Mus musculus: one gene and its partner. The protein of the gene in region 2 interacts with the protein of the main gene of each other region in a pairwise test. Links are inferred from orthologs where the notes say so. Each region holds a gene or a part of one and is shown on either strand. Other genes may lie near its edges.

Evidence for each region. The genes of interacting proteins can lie anywhere in the genome.
Region 1: the proteins of Psmc5 (region 2) and Rorc interact in binary tests that used the Homo sapiens proteins (3 or more experiments, as listed by UniProt). The link is inferred for Mus musculus from reciprocal best matches to the Homo sapiens genes PSMC5 and RORC.

The regions. Positions count from the first base shown.
Region 1 is NC_000069.6:94,389,424-94,393,643, forward strand, and holds part of Rorc (nuclear receptor ROR-gamma), read left to right. Parts: intron 1-51; coding exon 52-173; intron 174-976; coding exon of another isoform or gene 977-1,036; exon of another isoform or gene 1,037-1,650; coding exon 1,651-1,783; intron 1,784-1,956; coding exon 1,957-2,064; intron 2,065-2,221; coding exon 2,222-2,332; intron 2,333-3,607; coding exon 3,608-3,717; intron 3,718-4,220. UniProt on the Homo sapiens protein: Nuclear receptor that binds DNA as a monomer to ROR response elements (RORE) containing a single core motif half-site 5'-AGGTCA-3' preceded by a short A-T-rich sequence.
Region 2 is NC_000077.6:106,254,486-106,259,178, reverse strand, and holds the start of Psmc5 (26S proteasome regulatory subunit 8), read right to left. Parts: upstream 2,995-4,693; 5' UTR 2,989-2,994; coding exon 2,965-2,988; intron 2,332-2,964; coding exon 2,260-2,331; intron 1-2,259. Other genes in the region: pre-rRNA 2'-O-ribose RNA methyltransferase FTSJ3, read left to right, coding at 3,528-3,594, 3,754-3,859, 4,347-4,393, 4,493-4,572.

The DNA of each region.
Region 1 (4,220 bases), on a different chromosome or scaffold from region 2:
TGGGGTGGGAACTGGCTGATATCTAGCTGTGACTTCATCTTCTGGCCCCAGAGTACCTGGTACAGAATGTCTGCAAGTCCTTCCGAGAGACATGCCAGCTGCGACTGGAGGACCTTCTACGGCAGCGCACCAACCTCTTTTCACGGGAGGAGGTGACCAGCTACCAGAGGAAGGTAAGGGCAAGAGACATGAGGGAAGGGAGGGCACCACCACACGCGGGTGCGGTGCGGGCGCGCGCGCGCGCACACACACACACACACTGGTAGAGCCCAGATATGGCGTCTTTCACAGGAATGGGGGTAGCAATAGGGTATCACAGGCTGGCTAACAGGTGTGACTGTCTGTATCCAGGCAGCAAGATGACTATTTCTGTAGCTCCTGCTTATTGAGATTTCACCTAGTTAGCAACCTACATCCTCTTCCACCCAGACCTTGCCACACTGCCTTTCATCCTCCATCAGTAACTGATGCTAATCAGTATCTGAGGGTCATTTACTGGACACCCTTTCCTGTCAGGCATTGTAATAGAAGCTTTGAATTGTGTTCAACCTGCTGTTTGTGAACTACAAGTGTCTAAAGATAGTGATAAATGTGGCCCAATGCAAAATCATGAGAATGTTTTTGGTTGGTTGATTGGTTGGTTGGTTGGTTGGTTGGTTGGTTGTTGGTTGGATGTTGTTGGTTATTTGGTTGTGGTTGGTTGTTGGTTGTTGGTTGGTTGGTTGGTTGGTTGGTTGGTTGATTGGTTGTTGGTTAGTTTGGCTGGTTCCAAGACAAGGTTTTGCTGTGTAGCCCTGGCTGTCCTGGAACTTACTTGGTAGACCAGGCTGGCCTCGAACTCAGAGATTCACCTGCCTCTGCCTCCTGAGTGCCGGAACTAAATGTGTGCACTACCACCACCCAGCTCTAAAATGTGAGATTTTTAGAAACTTGATTCTCAGGTATAAACTTTGTAGATAACTATGTCAAATTACAGTGTCAGAGGCTAGACACACCTGTGAGATCATCCTCAGCCCGTCCAACAACTGGCCTCTGAGAACAGAATTTACACTGAGGGAGAAGTACAGAAGATCATACAGAGATGGCTCCACAGTGTCTGCCACCCCTTCTGTCACACTCTGACAGTACCAGAGGCTCTGAAGTCAGCTGGCACTTCACATTTGCACCTCTCAGTTGCTGAGACCTTCTTCAGGAGGAGCAGTAATTAACAATGTGTACACTGTTTGCAGGTGAAACTGTATCATGTATGGTTTCCCTTTCTCCACAACAGCTATCACAGTGTTGCAGGAAAGCCATCGCCTCCTATCTGGAGCCACTCCCTGGGAATCCGGGAAGCTCTCTGGCAACCTTTTCTCTCCCGTAGCAGAATCCTAATACCTAGTATTGAATGGACTTCACAAGAGACCAGGTTATCAGGGAGAAAGGAGTTTGAAGTTAAGAAATTAGAAGTTTTCAACCCTTATATAAGTCTCTGGGATTCCTTGTACTGAGCTGGGGATAGCAGTAACTGTAACTCACTGACAGGCACTGACCCTGGCTACATTTGTGCTAATAGGCTCTATGGTTGACAACAATATACAACTCATACCCTAAAGTTTATGGGGTGCAGGGGCTTGGGGGGATCACAGGTCTCCTCCTCTATCCCCGCAGTCAATGTGGGAGATGTGGGAGCGCTGTGCCCACCACCTCACTGAGGCCATTCAGTATGTGGTGGAGTTTGCCAAGCGGCTTTCAGGCTTCATGGAGCTCTGCCAGAATGACCAGATCATACTACTGAAAGCAGGTGCACAGGGATTGGCAGGCCCTGGGGGTGGGGGTGGAGCATGGGCTGGGGATGGAAGGACAGACCCAGGGCCAAGTGGAGGGAGGTGACTTAAGGAAATCAAGACACCGAGGGCTTAACAAGACACTGGCTCTGCTTAACATGGCCTACCCATCTTTCTCCCCTTTATCCAGGAGCAATGGAAGTCGTCCTAGTCAGAATGTGCAGGGCCTACAATGCCAACAACCACACAGTCTTTTTTGAAGGCAAATACGGTGGTGTGGAGCTGTTTCGAGCCTTGGGTGAGGGCAGTGGGAATTGAGAAAGTCCTGATGCCAATCCTATCACAAGCCTCTCTACATGGTTGTTTGCCCCCTGCTCTAAACACCCAAGAGTGGCATCCTTGGGGGAGAGGGGAGGCAGCTACCATGCTTACTCTCTTCATCTCCACTCCGGCAGGCTGCAGCGAGCTCATCAGCTCCATATTTGACTTTTCCCACTTCCTCAGCGCCCTGTGTTTTTCTGAGGATGAGATTGCCCTCTACACGGCCCTGGTTCTCATCAATGCCAGTGAGTGTGGCTGGGCATGGGAGCGGGCACTCGTGGCTGAGACACAGCAGCTAATGGCGAACCTAGGCCTTTGGATGTGACTAATGGGAGACTGCTTGAAATAAGGAAATGAGCTCTATCCCGTGCTTCTGTAAAATATAACAGACTAAAGTATGCAGAGGAACCTTAAGACAGGGCGAGGATAGCATACAGTGGGGCAGTGGGAACATGGAGAAGGGAGGTTGGAAGGAAATGAGCCACTTCCCCAATAGATGTTAACCTACTAGCCAGTGTAGGGCAGTGACTCCTTTACAGTACACATGGGAATCACCTAGGGAGCTTTAAGGACTAATTGAGTCCCTGGGTCCCACGTCCAGATTTTGACATAACTCATCTAGGCTGCACCCAAAATTTTAAGTCACCTCCAGATTGAGCCACTAAGACTGAGAATGGCCACTTGATGTGAGCTCATTTTGGGACAGAATGCCTATACTGGCAGTAGAGCTCTGGGTCCAAGCAGCTGAACGATAAATATTCAGAGGACCTAGGGGAGTGGGCCTGCTGCTCTGGGTTGGTTAATGACCATGCAAGCCTTCCAGCTCTACTAACATGACTTCAAGCTAGAAGCAAGACTTCTAGCAAAGGGAAAGGTAGCTTAGGGGCTGAAAGAGAGCCACTGAGTACGTTAGAGTCCTTGGTAAGAAGGTCACCTCTCTGAGTCACTCCTGTAGGAATGAGGAAGCTCTCTTCTAACATTTTACTTCCATGACAGAAATCTAGTGCCTGACATTGAATAAGCTACATGAAAGGCAGGTTACCAGGGACAAGGTAGCTAAAAGTTAGTTAGGAGATTAAAAGTTAGTTAAGGCTTGTATGGTCATTAACCATCCCAGAGCAGCAGGCCCACTCCCCTAGGCCTTCTGAATATTTATCGTTCAGCTGCTTGGACCCAGAGCTCTAGTGCCAGTATAGGCATTCTGTCCCAAAATGAGCTCACATCAAGTGGCCATTCTCAGTCTTAGAATGTCTCCCCACCCCTTTCATCTCTGCCCAGTTTCCCTAGTAGTTAGCTCGACAGGCCTAGAGTCATACAGTTTGCTGTAGTCAAACCAGTACACACATGTGCGCACACATGCATGGGGGTGGGGTGGGGAGGGACAGAGACACAGAGAGACAGAGGCAGAAAGAGACGGAGACAGAGATTCTCTTCAAAAAGATACATGACACCATTTTGTTGGTCACGACTGTCTTTGTTGTTTCCGTTTCACTCTGGTCCCATCCCATCCCTTCCTTCAGACCGTCCTGGGCTCCAAGAGAAGAGGAGAGTGGAACATCTGCAATACAATTTGGAACTGGCTTTCCATCATCATCTCTGCAAGACTCATCGACAAGGCCTCCTAGCCAAGGTAGGAGCAGTCCACAGGGTAGAAGAAACTAGGCCCACTGCCAGTTGTGTGACATCAGGGCCAGGGTCTTCGGGTGCAGAGGAAGGAGTGCTGCAGTGCTGGGCTATGTCAGCGTTTGCAGCAGCTGTGGGCCCTGCTGGAGCATCTGTTTCCATGTACGAAGGGATGGAAAGTTAGTGTGGAGTTAGAAGAGACCTCCAGGGAACAATTCAGTTTAATATAGCTGACACTTACCCAGCACCTGCTTATACAAGGAACTGTGGAAAGCTACAGAGATGCAGTTCTTGTCCCCACTAAGATATTCTAACCTCTTAAAAAGAGACTTGTGTACCTTCTAATATAATGCTAATATGGGGTAAAATATGTGATATTTTAACAGTGAGGTTAACAAAGTGCTTTCAATGATATCTCTTATCCTAATGGCAAACCAGTTAAAATAGGGCAGGTGTTAGAATCTTCCTGTAGCAATAAAGTGACTCCAGTGACACATATTAATTGATAAC
Region 2 (4,693 bases):
CCTAAAACACAGGCAATTTCTATTGCTCGTGGTGCCCCCTCCTCCCGAGGAGTGAAGCACGACTCCATTGCTGAAGGCACCGTTCAACTTCACACACAGGACCCAGAGCACTTGATTTGGCTGCCTTTTCCCTAAGGCGCCACACAAGCTTCTCGGGGGCAGGAGGGGGGGGGGGGCGAGCAACCAACAGTTCTCTTCAGCTACGATGCCTATGAACCGCGATTACTGTGGTGGCGCCCAACAGTTCTCAAATTGGACTTGCAGCCTGCTTAACAGGAGGAAAACCACACCTGGTATTAGAAACATAGCCAACTACCCTGGGCTAGTTAAGTTATGGATCTTGGAGAACCTACAATCACCACTTTACCTGCATCATTCCTAACTGCAGTGCATTTACTATAGACAAATGTAGTTCTAATCCCTTCTCAAGAAACTTCTCTTGGCAGCAAACGGAGACAATTACAGACAACCACAACTGATCAAAATGTAGAGACCGAGACTCAGCAGTGCCGGGTCCCAACTGACGCACGTACAACGCAACCCCTACACCTAAGGCTCGGAGCTCCAAGATTCCAGGAGCCAGAGAGACAAAAGTCTGCTGGGAGACTGTCTCTTAGAAATGTCAGAGGCCACACTCATGAAATCTCATCAATATGGCTGCTTAAATTAAGTCCTGAGCATTGATGACACCAACGGGCTTGCTTGCTAACCCGGAGGGGAGAGGTTCATTCATGGCGCCTCAACCCTAGACAAAGAATTAAGGGCTCCTGAGGAATGCTAAGAGGACAACAGACTTCTCCAAGGAGGAACCCCCATTTGGTTATCCAATACCAAGTGAGCATATACATACAGGTAACATTATATAGACTGAACAGGTTGTATTTAAGTATTTAGGGTGGTGGTGGTGATAAGGATTTCAAAATATAAAATTAGGAAAAAACAAAACAAAAAAAAAAAAACCCAAAAATTAGGAAAAACAGTTAGTCTAATAGGTAGGCATGATGACACAGGCTCGTAATTCCAACCCTAATGAGGCTGAGGCTGGGAGCTGGAGAGTGTCAGACCAGTCTGGGCTATACAATGAGATTCTATTTTAACAAATCCATTAAATAAACAAAAATAAGACAAAGGCAAGACAACAGAAGACAGACAACAGCATCCACTCTCCTGCTTCATTTCAGACCCAGGAGGGATGAAATCACATAGAGAAGCATTAAAAAGGGATAAAAACCATACTGGGTGTGGAGGCTCATGCTTTTATCCCAGCACCTGGGAGGCAGGCGAATTCTGAGACTGAGTCCAGCCTGGTCTACATGGGGAGTTGTGGGTCAGTTGCGGGTACATGGTGAGACATTTGTCTAAAGAAGAAAAAGTAAACTAAACGGAAGAACTGCAAATGTGCCTGAGGTTCAGGCATTCTCTCTGCGGCTTCCCTCCCAAACCCATTCTCGCTCCCACTCCCACCTTTGGCCAGTGGTTCCTCTGTAGGTGGTTTTGTTTTCCAGACAGGGCTGTACGTAATCCAGACTGGCTTCAAACTCAAAACACTGCTCCTGCCTCGGCTCTGGAGTGGCAACCTTACAGGTGTAATATTTGACTCTTGGGCCCGGAGAGGTGGATAAATGAGCCAGCCGCTCCTCTAGAGAACCTGGGTTCGATTCCCAGCACCCACATGGCCGCTCACAACTTTCTATAACTCCACTTCTAGGGCATCCTACACTGTCTTCTGGCCTTCACAGGCAAATGTAGGGCACAGACATTGGATGCAAGCAAAACACCCAAACACATAAAACGAAAAACCTGGAAAAGCAAGCAAGCAAGCACACAAACAAAAAATCCTAACTAAACACTATTCCCATCAAAGAGATTATCAATCTACCTTACACAGCTTGGTACCTCCTGACTACAAAGGAGCTGGAGAGATGGCTCAGCAGTCAAGAGGGTTTCTTACTGCTTTTGCAGAGGGCCTGGGTTTAGTTCTCAGCACCTGTAGTAGCTCATAACTATTTGTACGTAACTCAAGTTTCAGGGGATCCACTGCCCTCTTCTGACTTGCACAGACATCTGTATATATGTGATACACATAAGCTTACGCAGGCATATATACATATACACATAAGAAACAGACAAGCAAAGAGCTGCAAACGAACAACATTGGAAAAGAACTCTTTGCTGCACTCCCAGTGGAAAAAGGACACAGAGAAATCTGCACCTACCAGCTCCCGTCCTCCACTAGCTCCCTTTGCTGTCTGTACTCACCTGGAGTTCTTCAATCTTGGACAGATAATATTGACGGAGTCCACTGCCTGCCTTCCCCTCTTCCAGTTCCATCTGAAGACAAGTGTAAGTGTTAAAAAAAAAAAAGAAGAAAAGAAAAGAAAAGAAAAAGAAAAGGCATAAAGTACTAAAGGGTAAAGCCAAAGTATTTTCGAGGCACTCTACCATATAGCTTAAGAAACAAGGTCAGGAAAATACCATTCCCTTTTCCTCAGAAACTGGTATCTCGATGGGCGAGGTCTGTGTGTTTGAACTTCGGAGGCTTAGTTCTTGGTTCTAAGCCTTCATTTCTGAATCCACTACAAGGATGCAATTACCGCCTACCTTCGAGGACTTTTAGGAGTCTCAAGGGGCCATATACCCACCGAGCGCACTGCCCTGTGGCTAGAGCTACACATCCCCAGGGTTTAACTACTACAGACAAAGGCAGAACAGAGGGACCAAGTCCAGGTCGAAGCCCAGGCCATTCCGGCTTGCCAGCTTCATTCAGTTTCCACCCACCCCTGTCCTGCTTTCCTCAGGGCGGCGCTGACACAGCAGATCCAGTCCCAGGCAGAGTCCGGTCTGACGTGATCCACCCACCCCTGATCCACTGGACCCTCTCGCTCGTGGCCACCCCTCACTTCAGATTTTGTGCACTCCACACTCAGCTTGGATGCCGCCCAGCCGCCGCGGCAGAATCCTTACCTGCTCTGGCCCATCAAGCGCCATCTTCCCTCTCTCGGCAGGGATCGCCGGCATCCAAGTCACTCTATCGCGCAGGCGCGGAGGCGAAAGCATGCGCCCTGGGTCACCACCGAGAACAGTTCCGGGTCAATGGGCGGGGTGTGTGGCGATACAAACACAGTGGCTGTATTAGTAGAGGCTCTACTGGAGGTCACTAGTTTTGTGAAGAGATATAGAACTTCTGGTTGATGCTTCCTAGCGTTTAGGATACGAGTTATTGCACTCTACTTCCTAGCCTCTACTTTTAACTTGTAAGGCCTGCTGACAAAAAAATTTTGGCCACACTCAAAATGGCGGAAATCATGACGCCAGGAATGTAGGAAACGCGCGCAGAAGCGGAAGTACGATTACTGCCTACATGTGCTGCTTCCTAAGAGTTGAAAACCTGCGGAGTTAAGGGCTATCTAACGTCTGGGTAAGTGATTGCTCCACCGCCTGAGGAACCGAAGCGAGATCCAGTGCTCGGAAAGACGATCTCACCTTTTTCTTTCTCCCCAGAGTGAGTGATACTCCCCCATCCCGCCATGGGCAAGAAAGGCAAAGTAGGCAAGAGCCGGCGGGACAAGTTCTATCACTTGGCCAAGGAGACTGGTGAGTGGGTTCGCGCTGAGGAACAACATCCCCGTCTTTTCGCTTCTTCTAGTCCCGAGTTCCTTTTCCTTCGAGGGGGTTATGGGATTGTGAGGCTTTCCTCCTGGGAAAGGCCTCCGTAGACGGTATTGCCTTATACACCCACTCTCCACGATCCAGGTTATCGTTCGCGCTCTGCCTTCAAACTGATCCAGCTCAATCGCCGCTTTCAGTTCCTGCAGAAAGCCCGGGCCTTGTTGGACCTGTGTGCTGCGCCTGGCGGATGGTAACGTTTGGCAGGGGCTGCTATGATGACACGTTCCTGGCACTGGTTGGCTTTGAGTTGCTTTTCGGGGAGGATGGGAATCCGATTACACAATTCAGATTAAATATTCCATAGTATGTGTCTCTCTCAAATTTTGGAAGGGAGCGTCATTTTCCCCCTCTTGTGGTACTGAACCTAAGGACTTAACTCATGCTAAGGACTTAACTCATGCTAGGCAGCCCCTCCACCACCGAGTTATATCTCCAATTGCTTTATTTTGAGACAGGGACGCTGAAAAATTGCCAAGGATGGCCTTGAACTTTTGGTCTTAATCTCTTGCCCTCCTTAGTGGCTGGTAATGCAGCCCTGTGTTGCCATGCCCAGCAGGTTGCTTCTTGAATGTATGCATAGACATTTGGCCACTACACTTAACAGGTGCCTCTTAAGGGGATGAGAAGTCACCTTGCCAAGGGAGGATGAAAGGTATTTAAATCTGTCTCTTTCACAGGCTGCAGGTGGCTGCCAAGTTTATGCCTGTATCCAGTCTTATTGTAGGTGGGTGACTCTTGGGTATTTGAGGGGGAGGGGTGGGTTAGGTACTAATTTTGTCCTACATCTTCCTCCACCCTGTAATACTGAGTTAACATCTTTTAGGAGTGGACCTCGTTCCAATCAAGCCTCTCCCCAATGTGGTGACTCTCCAGGAGGATATCACAACAGAACGCTGTAGGCAGGTAATAAGACCTCTCCTTCTTTTCTTTCCTCTTTATGTGCTGGTGTCATTGCCTACTTATTTATTTATTTAGTGTGTGTGGTCTTTCGAGACAGGGTTTCTCTGTGTAGCCCTGGCTGTCC